Caenorhabditis elegans: one gene and its partner. The protein of the gene in region 1 purifies or fractionates together with the protein of each later gene. This does not show direct contact. Each region holds a gene or a part of one and is shown on either strand. Other genes may lie near its edges. The genes, in order: T10G3.3 and F45F2.10.

The links.
Region 2: the proteins of T10G3.3 (region 1) and F45F2.10 fractionate together in Caenorhabditis elegans (co-fractionation; one large-scale study listed by BioGRID). This does not show direct contact.

Annotation. Positions count from the first base shown.
Region 1 is NC_003283.11:13,484,897-13,493,452, forward strand, and holds T10G3.3 (Abnormal cell migration protein 18-like fibronectin type I domain-containing protein), read right to left. Parts: upstream 4,731-8,556; coding exon 4,644-4,730; intron 3,916-4,643; coding exon 3,787-3,915; intron 3,514-3,786; coding exon 3,284-3,513; intron 3,233-3,283; coding exon 3,151-3,232; intron 2,689-3,150; coding exon 2,510-2,688; intron 2,465-2,509; coding exon 2,341-2,464; intron 2,297-2,340; coding exon 2,234-2,296; 3' UTR 2,130-2,233; downstream 1-2,129. Other genes in the region: eea-1 (FYVE-type domain-containing protein), read right to left, coding at 6,469-6,690, 7,082-7,257, 7,306-7,579, 7,895-8,158, 8,206-8,433, 8,479-8,556.
Region 2 is NC_003283.11:8,514,518-8,523,073, reverse strand, and holds the start of F45F2.10 (ANK_REP_REGION domain-containing protein), read left to right. Parts: upstream 1-4,309; 5' UTR 4,310-4,506; intron 4,507-4,726; 5' UTR 4,727-4,763; coding exon 4,764-4,953; intron 4,954-5,464; coding exon 5,465-5,742; intron 5,743-5,806; coding exon 5,807-6,219; intron 6,220-6,266; coding exon 6,267-7,185; intron 7,186-7,290; coding exon 7,291-7,539; intron 7,540-7,675; coding exon 7,676-7,726; intron 7,727-7,781; coding exon 7,782-8,002; intron 8,003-8,052; coding exon 8,053-8,162; intron 8,163-8,202; coding exon 8,203-8,556. Other genes in the region: otpl-7 (Otopetrin-2), read right to left, coding at 34-281, 333-405, 778-912, 960-1,219, 1,511-1,553; F45F2.11 (Protein kinase domain-containing protein), read left to right, coding at 2,269-2,270, 2,312-2,380, 2,438-2,795, 2,839-3,329, 3,373-3,465, 3,521-3,728.

The DNA of each region.
Region 1 (8,556 bases):
GAATTATGTGGTGGACTAAATCGGAATTGTTTTAGAAAACGAACCACAAACAAAAACGTACAACAACAATTTCAAGTTCTGAGCTCCGAGGAAATCTGGTAATATTTTTACTTAAATAAACTGGCCTAAATTGAATCGTCAAGACAAAATACTCATGCCCCGCCCTTTTTGTTCAATCTTTTATGTTATTGTTGAACTAATATTTCTGACCGAATGGGAGCTGGAATAATTTTATTTCTGAATAAAATAAGTATTTACAGAAACAAGAGTTTTTAAAAATACTTCCTGATTATGTGACGAATGTGTTTGAATTTTTCTTGAAAAGAATTAACAGTTTGTATTTTGAATTTTCACTAAACCTACACAGTTAAATGGAGTGTACAGAACCTGCACTTCGTTCTTTCTTAATTCCAACTTTCTGATTTATACTTTTTTAAACCAATGTTTTATCGGCTCAGAACAATATAATGAGTTTAAAACACTTTACAAATTTTAACTGAAAGATTTGAGGTCACCGCCAGAAAACATTTTATTTTTTAAACTTCAGAGTGCATAAAAAATTTTTTACTTCATTACCCAAGAATCCGAATTCAAGGGGCATCTTGTAGTAAAATGCACACAGGTCAACTAGATTGATTTATTCCTCTTCAAAAAATTTTTAATAAAAAATCAACAGAAGCAAGAAACCGGGAAACATTTCCAAAAACTACACGTTTTTGTGCTCATTCTAATTTCAAGAAGTATCAAGCTTTCACAATAAATAAAAATTTGCGGAAATGTTATGAGAAGTTTTGTTTAAAATTAACTCTGCAAACCTTTAGGTAGAGGTTTAAAAAAATAAAATAAAGAAGAAAGTCGTCGTGGGAAAATAAATGTTCTGGTTAAATCAAAACATCTATATCTGCTGACATCACCTGACATTTATTTTAGTAATGATAGGTTAATTTGAACCTAAACTGGTTTCAACCAAAAAGGAAAACATAAGATTTTCTTGTGAGCTTTCATAAGAAACGTTCCAAGAAAAAATAAACTTGTCTACATTTTTGGAATTTTTGATGTCATTTTTCTAATTAGGAAACATGCATTGGAAACTTATATTCAGTTTTGTTCAATGCTCCAATTTTTAGAATCTTCATTTAATACGTACATAACCTTTAAAACACTGAAGTTTCCGCATCAGTGAATTTTAAGAAAAATATAATTTCAAATTTCAAAAAAAAAAACAACTCTTTAAAATCTGAAAGTTGAAAACTCAAAAGACCATTGAGACCTCCGGAATAATGAAACCCAACATTTACACGTTTCTTTAAACTTTCTAGAGGAAAAGATAATTAGGTTTCTGACCAAGCTGCCCTAAAAGAAATTTAATCAGATTTATTTGGAAATAAGGGTATAGCCGGTACTTAAATGTAATATACGGGAAAACGTGGATTCAGGGAAACGAAACGTAGGAAAATGAAATTCAAATTGATAACTAAAAAATTAGGTTTTACACCTTCACGCAAAAAGCTGAACTTTGATTAGCAGACATGTTTCAAGATTAGTTTCCTTTTAAATTTATATAATAAGAACGTAATGTTTCATGATTTAAACTCAGTTTCAGCTGTTAAACAACGGAAATAATACTTTTTTAATTGCGTAATAAGTTTATAGTTAACTTCCAAAAATAGTCACCACCCCACTAAGGCTTCAGAACCAAGGACTGCCAATTTTTTAATAGGAAAGTGGGCAAGTTAAAAGGAATGTGTCTGATTGCAGGTAATCTTCTACTAATAAGTTCATTTATTTCAATATTTTTGACTTAAAAAAAAACAAAGCATCAATTCAAAACGTCTCTTTTCAAAGTTTCTTATTTTAAAATTAAACGTATAATATGTACATGAATAGACCGTGCCAATATCCAATAAAACAACCCCAGAAGTTATTATTTATTAGGTCGGAAAACATTTCGTGCCGCGTGATTTGGGAATTGTGTTTTATGAGTTTTGATAATATTGCAGAACAAATATTCACGACCTAGACTTCCAGAAAAACTATTGAGATGCATTGTAACTATAGAATGTTTCTGATTTATTTTCAGTAGGTTTCAATTTGGAATTGTAAGAAAACTTCCTCAAGGCAAGAAGAAACGTAAAAAAATATTTATTTATGGATGAAAACTAAATGTTTTTCAAAAAAATGGGATCTAGGCACCCGTGGGAAAGATGCAAAATTCAGAAATCAGGAATTGTTTCTAGTTTATTCTAACTTCGTAGTACACTCTATTTTCCTCCTTTTTCCTGTAGCATTTGTAGGTCTGAAAGTATTTTATTATTGTTTAAAGAATAAAACTATTCAAACCTTCTTTCCAATTGTCAGCTCATTATCCACATTAATAATAGTCTTATCGTCCACAATGCAGTTCAAGATTACTGTAGCACCTTCGTCTGTGCATTTTTTCGTGAAAATTCCGTCTGATACCCAGCTGAAAAAATGTTATGGGATTTTTGAAACAAGGAAACAAACTTACATATCTCCAGACTTCCTATTTTCTCCTTCAAAATCGCAGGTTGTCTCTGACGTCTCCATCATTTGTTCGGCAGCTGGAACTTCTTGCACAGGATCTGCAGGTTTTGGAGCAAGAAGATCATCGACATCCATTGCTCCAAAGTTCTTAAACATTGGACCAAGAATTTCGACGGGACTCAACTGAAATCGAATTCTGGTTAGGAAGAGTGTGATTTTTGTGCACAACTTGCACAAAAATCGGGATGAGTCTAATTATATTTATTGATTTTTTTCTTCTCAATAAATGAATATATATATATAACTTTGGCAACTAATATTTTTCCAATTAAAAACCAGGTTGGAGCAGTAAAACAAATCTCAAAAGAAAACTGTTTGAGCTGACTTTGGCTGATTCTAAAACTAGATCTATGCGATTTATATTAAGGTGAAGTATACAGTTTTCTATGTAAGAAAAAAAGCGGTCGAGAAGCTCTTCGAACTAGAAAAAAACTATAATAAACTTCTGTAGGTCAACAAAATTTCATATTGACATTTTCAGGCTCAATGCTTTCCTAGTTTTCAGACTTACCTAGAGGTGGCCTTTGAAGTTATAACATTTTGAATTAAAAAATTTACCATCAATCTTCAAATACTAAAACTTACCGTGGTTGCCCTAGTAACTGTATTTTGTTGTGGAGCAGCATCTCTGTGAAGTGAAACTTTTCCATTCGAATCCATGACGCATCTGAAAATATATTATATTATTTTTGCCGTTATTTTTTGGATCGAAACTTACTCATACTTGATTCCACTCAAAACAAGTGATCCATTAAGTGGTACCGGAATTCCTGAATCCGAAATGCAATCAGATATTTGAACTCCTTTAGCCGTACATTTTGCCATAAAACTCTTCTCGAAAACCCATGTATCTCCAATTGAATGGTCTCCACAACTCTTCTTTCTCTTGATATTTAATGTTCTTCTGATTTCAACAGTTCCATCTTTCTCTTTCAAACATTCGTATTTCTAAAACAAAAAAAATTATAAAAATTAAACTAGTTTTCTGTACGTTTTGTCTTTCAAAAGTCATTTTTGCTATTTCTATCTGTTAATCATCATTTATTGTGTCTCCCACTAGTGAACTGTCATAACTGGTTTGCAGTTATCATTTCAAATTGAACTAAATTAAGGGTTGGGCACCGGTCAAAAATAGTTGAGGTGATTGTAAAAGAAGAAAGGAATGTTAGTGACTTTGATACTGGTCAGTAGTAAAACCAGTACGTGAACCTGATCACAAACCGTATTTCCTTCATGAACTGTCTGACCGGGTAACACGTGGACACCTTCATCAGTTTTGCAACCAATTACTGTAGTCTTCCAACCATTTTTAGTGATATCACATCGAAGTACGAAGGTTGAACGGGCTATCTGAAAAAAAAAATTCGTTGATTTGAAAACAACAGATCACAAAAACGTTTAGTTTGTCCAAAGATTGTTTTTCACCACAAACAAGTTACATTTTCCCAGTGAAACCGGTAAAAAAGAATTTCAGAGTAATTAAGCAGTTACTGCAAGATACTTTTGGAGGTATATAGAAGGTAACAAAAATGATTGACTGCTTGTTAAAAGTATTCACGAAATCTGTTGGTAATTATGTGGCAAAGTACGGAAAACGATAGCTTTTTTGATTCCGTTGAAAACTAAACTGTAACAAAATCGCATACTTTTCTTTAATGCAGAAATAAATGGCAAAAGTTCCGTAAGTGATTTGAAATTTGGTTTCAAAATAGCGTTAATATAAAGAGTGTACAAAATTATTTTAAAATTCGAGTATCGAGGTTGACAAGGTTGTTTAAACATGCTCAAACTGAGCAGGAAAAACCGAGTCTCAGCATTTTCTTAGGTTAACTTTTGAAACATAGGAAAAATTTTACCATTTTGCAGTTTTTGATAACTTTAAGGCACTGGTACATACTTGGACCATCACAATATCTACATTGAAGTCGATAAAAATTGGCTCGAGGCGCTGTTGCCACAAAATTTGTCAAAAATCGTGTTTTAGACATTTAAAACTGAAGAAAAAAATTCTGCCACACAATATTTGAATAGCATCGAACATTTATTTTAAACACTGAATAATACATAAAATATCTCACCCAAGTATCTCCATTCTTATATTTTTCACCCTTGTGAACACATCCATTAACTACAGCTGTTGAGAGAAGAAGAAGTGGTAGTAACATCTGAAAGTTTGGATTTCAGATATTTCTTTATTTCCAGATAGAACCAAAGTTTTAGAAACCTAAAAAAGACTGGTGGAATAAAACATGACTAATGCGACAAGTTAGTTAATGAAACAAAATGAAAGTGAATGAAGAAGTTAAATTAGATTTTGAACAGTATTCGGTAACTAGTGAGAAGATGTGTAACATTTAAATAAAAAAGGTCACCTAACACACAAAATATGTTCCCATTCAACCCCTTCTCCATGGATAAAAAGCGATGAATAAAAGAGATAAAGATCAGAGAATTCAATGATAACAAATTTATTCGAAAAAGTGAGTGATGGAGAAAAAGAAGAGAAATTGACGTCTTCTTTCATTTTTTTTTAACCTAACCTCTGTGTGTATTACTTGTCCTTGATCGTCCGAAACGACAGAAGACGTTGAAATGTGGGCGGAGCTTCGGGAGATGCTGCTGCAGAAGATGTTATGACGTCATCAATAAGGTGAAGTCTATGTAGTTGCAGATATTTTGATTTTATCTCGGAGAAGATGATGACCGATGAGATGAAGAGCGGAAGAGATATGAAGGGAGGATCCCCCTTATTGAAATGTTTTCCTAGAATATGACTTAGATATTCAGCAGAATTGATATTAAATAATGAAAAATAGGCATATTATTTTTGCTAAAAAAGGTGCAATGTCCGGTCTCGGCACGAGCGATTTTTTTTAATCCAAAAAAAATGTTTCTTTAAGGGGTACTGTAGCTCCCAACTCCGTTTCGTTTCTCAAAAATCAATATAGAAAAACAGTTTTAAAAAACCATTTGCATACAACAACGAGAGATTTCGCCAATAGCGGTCGTTTCGAGAGTGGAAAAAATTGCTCTTCACTCATTTTATGAGTGGCCGAGATTTCATATATATATATATATATATATATATATATATATATATATATATCACGGCCATGTAGTAAGAACCTTGCTGTGGGATTAGGACAAAGATCGCAAAATTTCTCATGAAAGTCATCAAATCAAATCAAGGTAATATAACAATTTACATTCTAGGCTTCAAAACAACCTGGCGTGAAAACTGAGTTAAATTGCTGGCCTAGTTTTTTCTAGGCCACGTAAAAACCAGACCCGTGTCACAACGAGCCTAGTGGCTTTTCTTTTTATTAGGCATTCTCTCGAAACTCACCGAAAACGATCATATACGAGTTATCAACAGGCCCTAATTCAGATATTTGAATGCGATTTTTTTTCGTAAAATCAAAGTACATATTCACATTAGGTATATTTCTGTAATCTGACCCAACTCCCGATATCCGCTATGTCAGGACTTCCGATCACTCCCTAAAAGATCTCAAACATCCCGTGCATCTTCTTCTTCTTCTCCTCATTTTCCTGCAGCATGTTTGATTGATTATCTCATCGTTTGCAAAAATAAACACTAGTAGTAATCAATATAAATTCATCAATAGCACATAGAAAGAAAATGACTAAAATGGCAATGTATCACACAATGAACTAGGATCGGGATTGGTAAAACTGAAACTCGTGAGTGTCTTTTTGATTGGGGGCGGTCTCGTGAAATGGCACATAACTCTGTATATACGGGCAGGGATTGGGAGATGGATTCAATATGATTAATAAATATAAGTGTACTTGTATATAAATTAGGGCATTTGATAATTTACAAACATAGATCATAATCAGATCATTGAATTTAAATTTTAAAATTATAAATTAATAAAATCATTTCTGGGAATCAGTGAAGCACGTGTTGCAGGCTCGGACTGGATTCTTGGCACTCGCAATTCGGACTGATTTTGAACTGCATGGATTGCAATAAATCTTTCCACAAACTCGGCAATGATGCTTTCGAACTGTCAGAGAAAACACCTTTCCACATTCGGTACAATTAATTGCTTCTGCATCGTCAAGCCATTTCCGAGAACTGTAACGGTCGGCATCAATCTGTAATTTTTTAGAATTGAACAGGATTCTACTCCTTCATGAATACTGTCAATGGCGAGTTATTTTATTAGGTTTGAAAAAAGGAAGATGATTTTGGCGATTTTCAACTCTTTCTAATCTCCTCGTTTGAATTACCGCACTTTTTCCTCTAATCTCCACCCATAAAAACGGGTCGAACTTTAGCTTTTTTCCATTTTTACGAAAATGATTCTTTTTTGTGTTGTTTTTATATTTTTAATGAAAAAAGAGGTCCTAAATATTCAAAATTATTCTTCAAACATTTTGAAAATCGTATCGAATCCGACAAAATTTAATCGTTCGCGGAACTTTACAAGAAAATGTTTTTTTTTTTAATATTTTCGAAAGGCAAAAATTATATGCTAAAAATTACCTGCAGTGACTGATTGGCTCTTCCAAGTTCATGCATGGCTGAAAGAGCATCATCAAATCTTCTCTTATTCTCTTGTGATCTCTCTTTCTCGTATTCAATGTCACTTTCACTGCCAAGACACCGCTCGATTAGCATATCTTTCTCTGCTTGCCACATTGTTTCAGCTTTTTTCAATTCTAAAAAATTTCAAAATGTTATTTATCACTTGAAATATTTAAACTTGCCATCAAATTCTTCTTTCAATTTCTGCAACTCATCAAGTTTCTCTTGTTCGATATTTCTGACTGCAGCCAAATCAGCTTCAAGAGATTCAACGACTCGTTCTCTTTGAGTCAATCTGCTCTCTAATTCTTCGATTCTTGAATGATTCACCTTTTCAAGGCTATCAATTCTTTCCATGAGCCGTTCAATTTCTTCAGTTTTATCATTTATTTCTTTCGAAAGTGTCTGTTGAACGTCGGCGAACATGGCTTCAAATTGTGTTTTGCTGGATGTCATCTGGAATTTATATTTAATGGTGGACAAGAGTCATTTTGACATTTTGATAGAAAATGAATGAACTGCAATGACCTTATGAACAATTTCTAAATGTTTTTTCAAATGATTTTTCAACTTTGCAAAAACAAAAAAGGTTTTCTTTTGTTTTTGAAAAATTGAAAAAAAATTAAGTTTTAGAATTTTTTTATTTAACATTTATAATTGGATGTTTTAATCGAATTTTTTAATAAAAAAAAACGATTTAAAAAAGCGTGCAAGTTTCTTAAGAATTCGTTTCCTATTTTTTAGTTATGTACAAAAAAAATCTAAACGAACCCTTGCAATCGTAGTTTCCTTCTCTTGAATCTCCTTCTGCAACTTTTCCAATTCTTCTTGTTTCTGGCTCTGTGTTCCAGTGAAAACGACAAGCTTCTCAGTTTCTTCTGCTTTTTCTGCTTCTAATCGTTCGATCGTTCTCTTTCCACTGGCCATTTCTTTCTCAAACTCTTCAATTCTAGAATTGAAAGATTCGATGTGCGAGATTTTTGAAACTAGCTCATCTTCCACGACACGTTGCGTAGTTTTCAGAGACTCAATTTCCTGCAAAATAATAATTTTAAAAAAAATCAATTTCTGAACTATCTTACGTTATCTTTGGTTTCTAATGCTTCTTGAATCGACTGAATTGTGGATTCCCTTTCTTCAATATCTTTTTCAAGTCTTGACTTTTCCGTAATCATTCTCTCCAAATTTTCAGATCCTTTTTCTTCGGCATGCCTACGACTTTCTTCAATGGATTGAATTTTGCTATTGAGATTTTCACATTCTGTTCGAAGAGACTCTGATGTTGCAGTCAATTCATCACGCTCTTGAGTCTAAAAAACATTTGTTTAACTGATTCAAATTGAGGATTATCTTACAGTAGCTGTGACAGCTGATTTCAATTTTTCTATTTCTTGTGTCTTTTCTTCTTCTGAACGAATAAGCCGTTCGACTTC
Region 2 (8,556 bases), 5.0 Mb from region 1:
ATATTTAAATTGCTTTAGAGACTCCATACTTACCGCTTTCACAAGACACATGGAAAACCATGTCCATAAATTTACAGCTACACAATGCATCATTCCAAAACTTGCGAGAATATTCGATCGATGAAATGTGATTTTTGAATTACAAACTATGAAATGCATTTGTAGAAATGTGAATATTATCGCCGCAATATGCTTGGCAACGACCAACCGATGAACACATTCACCAGAGAAACACAAGAAGATTTCACATCCCCAAAGAACACTTCCAAGTGTTCCGAAGACTGAAAAAATTTATTTTGTGGAAACAGGAATTGAAAAATATAGTAACTTACAAATGGCTCCAAGTCGTAAGTATAGGGTGCCAGCTCCTTCTCCATTATGTATTGGGTCGGAAAGAAGCCATCTCTAAAAATTGGGAAGTCGAGTTATTGAGAGCGGATTTGAAGTTTTAGAACCTAGCGCCTACTTTCACAGCTTAAAATTTGGTTTACTCATTTCCCATTTCAATTAGATTGTTTAAAAATTCAATTGAAACTTGAAATGATAGTCAACTTTGGAAACATAGAGAGTCACTCGTGTAGACACGAGGCAGGCATAGGCCGCTTTAAAGGTACATAAGTAGACAGGTGTTTACTATTCAACTACTCAATCATAAATTAGACGTTTTGGTCATTAAATAGAGTCGAATACATTGTAAGACATGCCGAAGAAAACTTAAGGATTTTTGTTTAGTTTTCTAAGAAAAACATTCATAGATATCAAAATATAAAAACTCACATCTGGTCTTGGCACCAATGAAGTTTTTCGATTCAAGATCATGATCAACATGTTAATCGGTTTTGGATAAATAATCATCAAATACGTGTACATGAAGAACAAGATTGCAATAAGATACATCAATAGTGAGAAAATCTGAAAAAATGACTTTTCCTTCCTCTCCGGCCTTTATGAATCCCTACCGTTTCAGCTAGCCATAGATCTGGCGAGCTCCAGGCAGATGAGATAGAAATGAGACAAGATACGATGGTTAGAAGAAGTACATACATACTTGTGAGTAATCCAACTAGAAAACGTAAAGCTTTCGGATTTCGAATCCACTGTGGATGTTCCAACAGTGATTCAGTTGGTGATGGAAGAGCATTTGGAACTGTGACATGATCAAGTGGGGCTGTTGATGTACTCGCAACACTGACAATTGATTCTTTTTCTCGGAGAGGTTCTAGAATTGATGATAAATTGAATTTAGAGAGTAAATAGTATTTTTACTTGAATATTCTTACATACCATGTACATCAGAGTTATAATTGTTGTCCATATTCGCAAGAAATTGAAAAAAAAATGGTTAAAGTTACAGCCAGAAATTTCAAAAACTACAATGTATTGTACACGAGATATGAGATGTATCCCGAACAAAGGATGAATGGGATAAGTGTACTACGAAGAACATACAAGATGTTGAAAGTTCGGTGTACCCTCTCGAGAGCTGATCAGCACAAAAACTGTGACTTACCTTTTCTCGCCAATTCATTTTTGCTTGTGGTGCGAACAACCATGTCGATTATGACTTTCTAACTGCGATCAGAAATGTGTATTTATACCCTAAAATGAGCTACAGTACTACATGAGGGGTATCAAACGCTCAAACATTGCTGTCGGGCAGAAAAAAAACGTGTTGTCCATTTGTGGGAATTGTCTATTTATGTTTGCAATCAACAAATAGCAGTCGGAATTTCGTATAATTTCGAGTTTAATTCACGTTCTTTGATGGTTTGTACTTTGTAATTTGAAAAATTACGGTAATAGTAAAGGCACAGTAGAAAAATTTAAACGCAGGTCTCGCACGGAACACAGTACCTCTGACGACGCTTGGAAAACAATTTTGTTTCACTTGTCATCATCAGAGTGTTTTCTTCCGAATTTTTTCGAATTTAGTGGATTTTTTTTGGTTTTTCATTGATTAATTTTCCACGGAATATTTATTTTATTTCTTTTTGGTCATTTTTAATCAAAATTTTCAAAATTATTCCAGTTCCTCATGTTTCAATGTTGTAAACTGTAACCACTCAAATATTTGTTTTGAGCCGAACTTGTGTATTGTAAACTTTCCGAAGATCAAACCACCAATTAACATTTCAGTCATGTGTTAATAATCAATCAAAGTAAATATATTTATTTTCAGATCTCTCCGCATGACCTAATAAGGAACATTCAGTCCAAAATCGATGTCTACCGCATGAAAACACTACAACTGATATTAACATAACTGACATGTAAGATAATTTACTAATCAGTGCAAATAATTTTTTTTTAGGGACACCGAAGATACTTCAGGGTATTCATCGCTAAAATCATCACCACAATCTTCCGATGAAAATTTTTTGTAAGAGACATTTAAAAAAAAACCTTTTAGCTAATTCTGATAAAATATTTCTTTCAGCAAGAGGCTACAATGGGGAAAAATACGATTGGAGCTCAAGACACCAGAGTTTCTGAAAGAAAGCTCAGAATTGGAAATTGAAAAGAATGAGAAGTCTGGAATACAGAAATGTGGAGAAAATGAAGGTGAAAATGAGGAAAAGTGTGAATTTCGTCCAGTCGTCACACCAAACGAAATTGATTCTCATAAGGAGTGGTATCACAGGCTTCTAATGCTCAAGTTAGAATATAAGCGCGGTGAACGGGGAGCTTTTCCTCCATTTCCACCACCACCTCTTCCTTCCATGATGATTGCTGCAAGTAACGCCGTATCGTTCAATGCGTTCGACGAAGTCAAAAGAGCAGCTCAAGCGAAAACCGTAAGGTTATTCAGAAATTCGATATCGTAATTATCATTTTCAGGCAAAGTCTCCGAGCACGTCTTCATTGGAAAGACGAGCCCAACGTTTTTGTCCCGCTGATTTTCAACCACTTCCTCCACCTCACATCTACATTGAAATGATCAGAACATTGGCTCCTCACCAATACATTGATTTGACTTATGCTCTCGCTGGTTCGGTTCTTTTAGAGATGGGTGTCAAGATTCCTGATCGATATCCGAATTTACCTCCGAAAATTGAACCGTACCGAGACATTGAGTCAGAAGAAGCAGCTCACTGGACTGAGATGTCATCACAATCATCCTCGGAAGGGGAATATTCAGACGCTTCTGAGAGTGCGAAGCTAGTGCAAACGTTGAATAGAAGAAAAAATAAGGAACGAAGGGAAACGAGGAAGATAAGAATTGTTGCAAGTATGCTCACATCTTCGACTTTTTCAATGAAGAAAAAAAGGAAAAATGAAGGACTTGATTTTAAACATGAAACATTTCCGAGAGATTATGATTATAAAGAGTAAGAATTTAAGTAGTTATCGAATATTAAATCGTTATTTCAGAAAAACACTTTCTACATTCATTCCTCCGAGAATTGCCCGTCGTCCTCCTATTCCTCCACCGCAATTCTTCTTTCCACCATCACCACATTTCAGGTATTCATGTAATTTACTAATTCAATATCGCTAAATACTAATTTTATATTTCCAGCCGTGAGCCTCACTCGCTCCCACCAATGCCGATGATGTTGCCTATCCCATTACCACCGATGTCACTATCCTCTCCAATCTCGCCAATCCATTTCCAAAAAAATCTTCAGTCTACTCCAGAACGTCCTTCTCGAACTGATTCTTCTCGAGTCCACGCAAAACAAATCAAAAACGATATTATTATCGTCGAAAAAGTAACTGATGTCTAGAAAGACAATGATTATTTAATCTTCCAATTCTTTTCATTAATTTTTTCCTTAATTTCTGTAATTTTTAAAATAACATTTCAAGAAACTTCTCATCTCTCGTAAATCGACAAAGAGTCGTTCCTTTGTCCGCAATTGCTCGTCGAATTCGACGTTTGTGCAGAGCCGGCTGCACAATGGTCGTCGTGTCTGGAACGATTTTTTGTCGGTGAGCGACGGAAATGTTCTGAAAATCTTTGTATTTATGCTTTTGTTTTTTCTCTGTCTTCGCTTTCCCAATTTTACAAATTCCATTTGTTCCTGTTTCTTTCATTCCCTTGACAAAGTCACAAAATTTGTCCTTTTTTTCCTTTTTATCTACCGTTGTGATCTACACGAATAAGATTTTCTTCATGCTTTTTTGCTTATAAATTTTTTTTTGTGCTCGTTTGGATTTCGATAGTCCTATTATATTTATTAAAAAGATAGAAATCACAAAATTAAAAAAAGGCAAGGTAAATTTCAAAAACTGAATAATTTATGATTTAAAATTTCAATGGATATACTGAACTGAAACTTTAAAATCGTTTAATTTGTATTTTTAGGTCGTTATTTCTAGACCTCCCGAACGAGGGTCAGATTAATTAAAAAATTGCCTTTTTTGAATTTATGGAAAAACAAATCGAGTTATTCTGAATGTTGGATCATAAAATTGTTGCTCAATAATCTCACACCCCAAATCTTGTCGCAAATTTGCACTCTACTTCTCTGGCGCCATCTCTCGTTATTTCTATCTGCCACCGTGAGTTGTTTTCTTCCTACACTTCTGTTAGCGGGCCCCTCGTCTCGTTTCGAACGTGCCGTCCCCTCCACGCTCTCCATTTTTAATTCTCTTTTTCTCTTCGGTGAGTGTTTGTCTGTGAGCGAAGTGTGAGTGTCTTCTGGTTCTATCACTCATATACGCACATCCATATTTATTTCGTATATCACAGTTTAGCTCACACACACTCAATTTGTTGCAGAGGCTGTCAAAAGCAACAGTCTTTTCAGTTGGGTTCAATGCCAAAGGATAAAAAATCTAAGCAAAAAAAGGAAGGAAGTAGTGGACAAGAAGTAGAAATCGTCATTAAAAGAAAGAATTCGATTGTGGATTCAAGTGGAGGCTCGTCTTCTTCATCTTCCGAAACATCAGGAAGCTCATCGGATCAATCATCGCAATCTGGAGATAGCGACGGATCCATTGGATTTGGTAGGATTTATTGTTTGGAGGAAGCTGTTCACTCTCAAAAGCGATTGATTTCATCGATGAGAAAACATCAGAAATAAATATTTGAAATGCGAGGGATTTCGCAATTGATAGTTTTTAAAAAATTTCGGACAATTCAAACTCCTGTTTCAGCGCAATATTTATTTTTGATCTACAAAAATTAACTTTAAGAAACTTGTTTTTGTAGAAGTAGATCAAGAAAATTAGTCCTCGAAAAAAAAATTCGGAAAAGAGGTACCGCGAAAATTGTCAAATAGTTTGCTGAAAACGAGAATTTCATGCGGCGTCCATAGTGCGGAGAACAGTTTACTCGCTTTCACATTGCTCAACTTAACATTTCGCAGGCTCTGATTGGTTGATCACGCCCAATTTTTGAAATTGATCAATAGCGAAACGAAAAACTCCTCGCTTTTTCTGCGCACTATGGACGCCTCGGAAATTTCCGTTTTCCAAATTTTACCATTTCTTCTGAATAAACATAACCAAATTTCAGAACACGAGAAAGGTACAATGACTGGCGGTGATAATGTACAAGGGAGCAGCAGCAGCCACCCCGATTTGGGAAATAATTGCTCCGTGAGAATTAGAGATAGAACAGAAGAAATGCGGAAATTGATGGATGAAAATGCAAAGAACAGACCGGTGCGAATTGTCGACAATGTACATGGTGTTCCAATCACAGAATTCACTCACATAGTTCCTATCTCGGATCAAGAAAGAGATGATGGTCCATCAACTTCTGGAAGCTATCCGAATAGAGAACCTGCTCAGGTAGGAATTGAAAATAATTTTTTGAACCAGGTGTCAGAAAGAGCTTAATTTTAAAAAATTGCAGCCGTCGTGTAGCAGTTCAAAACAAAATGGAAAGACTGCGAAGAACAACTTCAAACAAAAACAATTGACAAAGAAACAAAGAAAAGAGCTCGAAAGGAAAGAATTCGAGATTTCCGGAGCACCAGCGCCAATCTATCCAGGTCAAAAAGAACGCACGAAAAATCCGATAGAATATGTTGTTGAAAAAGAGCGAAATAATCTTCATGTTCATCACTTCAATGAATGGTCCGGTGATAATGTTCGAGATGGAGAAATGGTGGTTCGAGGAACGAATGCAGCTGCTCAAAGTATGCTCGGACAGGATACGGTAGCCATTCCGTATTTGCGCCATGAAGATGAACTTGGTCCTCCAATGCATTACACTGATCTACATAAAAATTCTCAAATGAGATATTTACGGAACGTTAATACAATGTAAGAAATCAAGTTGTTCATAATCTTAAATAATTTTTGTTTTTCAGTGGAAATTACACCGGCCTTCCAGCTGCACTGAAACCACTTCATCGGATGGGATACGGTATAGCAGCATCGGGAATTCCAGATCCAGAGCCTCACACCTTGACGATTAATGGTGCAAAACCATTTATGAAGTACCAATACACAGATTACGTGAAATCTGGAGCAAAAATAATCAATTGGCGGAGTGATTTTGTTTCCAATGCAGACATGGATCAAACTTCTCAAGATGAAACCTATGTTGCCATTATGATGGATCACAAGAAAGCCCTTGAAAATATGATCGAAAATACGGATGATGAATTTCAAAAGAATATGATTATTGCACTGAGAGATCTCGATTTGCGACAAGTTCTTCTTCGATTTGGAGAAATTGAACGAATCATCGTTCGTCGGAAACAAAACTATGTATTCAGTGATTGTTTTCCACGATTCGATTCTCTTTCTCGTCAAGCTCGTATCACATATGTTGTGACCCAAACTCTTGACTGGAGCACTAATTTATTTCTCGAAAAGTTTGAAGACGATGTGACTGAGGAACGTGCCTGCTCAATTTTAATGCATCTTGCCTCAACATGTCCTGGAGAGAAACCATGTTACGAAGACAAGCATCGGAAATGCTCAATACTTCACTTCTTGATACATACGACCGCCAACAAGAATATACATTTGAGTCACAAATTTTCTGGTGGAAATACACTTCTTCATTTCGCTGCAATGACAGGTTCACCGTGCCAAGTCGATGTTCTTCTGCGTAACGGAGCTCCACTAAATGAGCTGAATGATCTTCATAAATCTCCAGTTGCATTAGCTATCCGAAGACACACTAGTCTGATTGCTCGACAATTGATGTGGCATGGAGCTGATATTGGAGGATCGTTGTCACTGAATCATGTTCAGCCAAGAACACCTCGACAGGCAGCGGTATTTTTTTAAATGTTTATCAAAAATATCAACACTTTTGAAGTACTTACCTATAAATTTCTAGATTTAAAATTGATATTAAAAGCAATCATAATATTTTTTCAGAACAAAGAGCTCTCCGAATATCATGATTATCAAGCAAAAAGCATTTCGTACAAAGCACGAGAATTTATCAATCAACGTTTGAGGGCTCTGAACAACTCGTTTGTTTCATGGGTTGAAGCCATTATTATTGACGCCGATGGACGAGTCAAGCTGGGTGTACATTCTGTAAAATCAGGTCTTCATCAAGTTCGCATCGGACAAGACATTCTAGATAGATTGGTGGTTGTACAAAATCGTACATTTGTTAAGGTTTGTATGAAAATTAAAAAAAAAACTATTTAGTCTAAATTTTTTGTTTTAAGAATAGTTTTGGAAATTATTATAACTCTATAACTCTATATAACTCTGAAATACTACAAATAAATTTTATTCGAAATTCTTTCAGAAATCATTCCAAATGGTGATCGAGAGAAGTGAATTCGAAGAAGAGCCAGTGGTAAGTCTTTTTCTTTTCGAATTATCTTAAAACTATAAATATTCACATTTGTCAGGTTCTCTTCCTCATACCTTGTCAATACAATCGATTTGACACTACAATGCCTGCCAATTTCCCACATATTGTTCGAGTTCCGATGGTTACTGATGCTCTTGCAACTGCTGAAAGAATTGCTGCGAAAGAGAAGAAGCGTATTGCAAGTGGAGGTGTTCGTGTTGAATACAAAGATGATTTAAAAGGCTGCCGACCGATTAAACTACTTGGAGAATCTGTTTCGTATGTTAATCATATGAGGAACCTTCATAAAATAATTGAATTTATTTCAGAATTAGCTTTGGAGACGGAAACGTCGATCGCCGAGAAATTCTGGAACCATTCTTCTCATTTGAACATAATGGAATCATATATGCTTACAATTTGCCTCCAATTATTTCAAGTAAGTTTCCATTTCCCTGAAAATTTACGCAATTTTTTAGATAATTTAGAGACAAAGTCCAAGCAAGTGAATGTCACGGTGAATCTCACGATTCCGGAAACTGAAGGAAATCGATTCAAAGATTGTTTCTTCATGGTTCAAGCTGTTCAAATTGTTGTTCGGGAACAACCACAGCCGATTAATCCGGCTTTCGAAAGTTCTCCCAATTCTTTTAACTTGAGACCAAGGGATCCGAGAACTGATATGATAGCCGAGAAAGTCGCTAGAATGAGAACCGAGAAGGTGATCGAAGAAGCGGCACGACGAAATGAAGTGGAAATGAGAGATAATCGAGTTCGTGGGATAGTTGCTGATATTGAGTCAGCTATAGCCTTGAAAAAGAGTAAATCGGTTC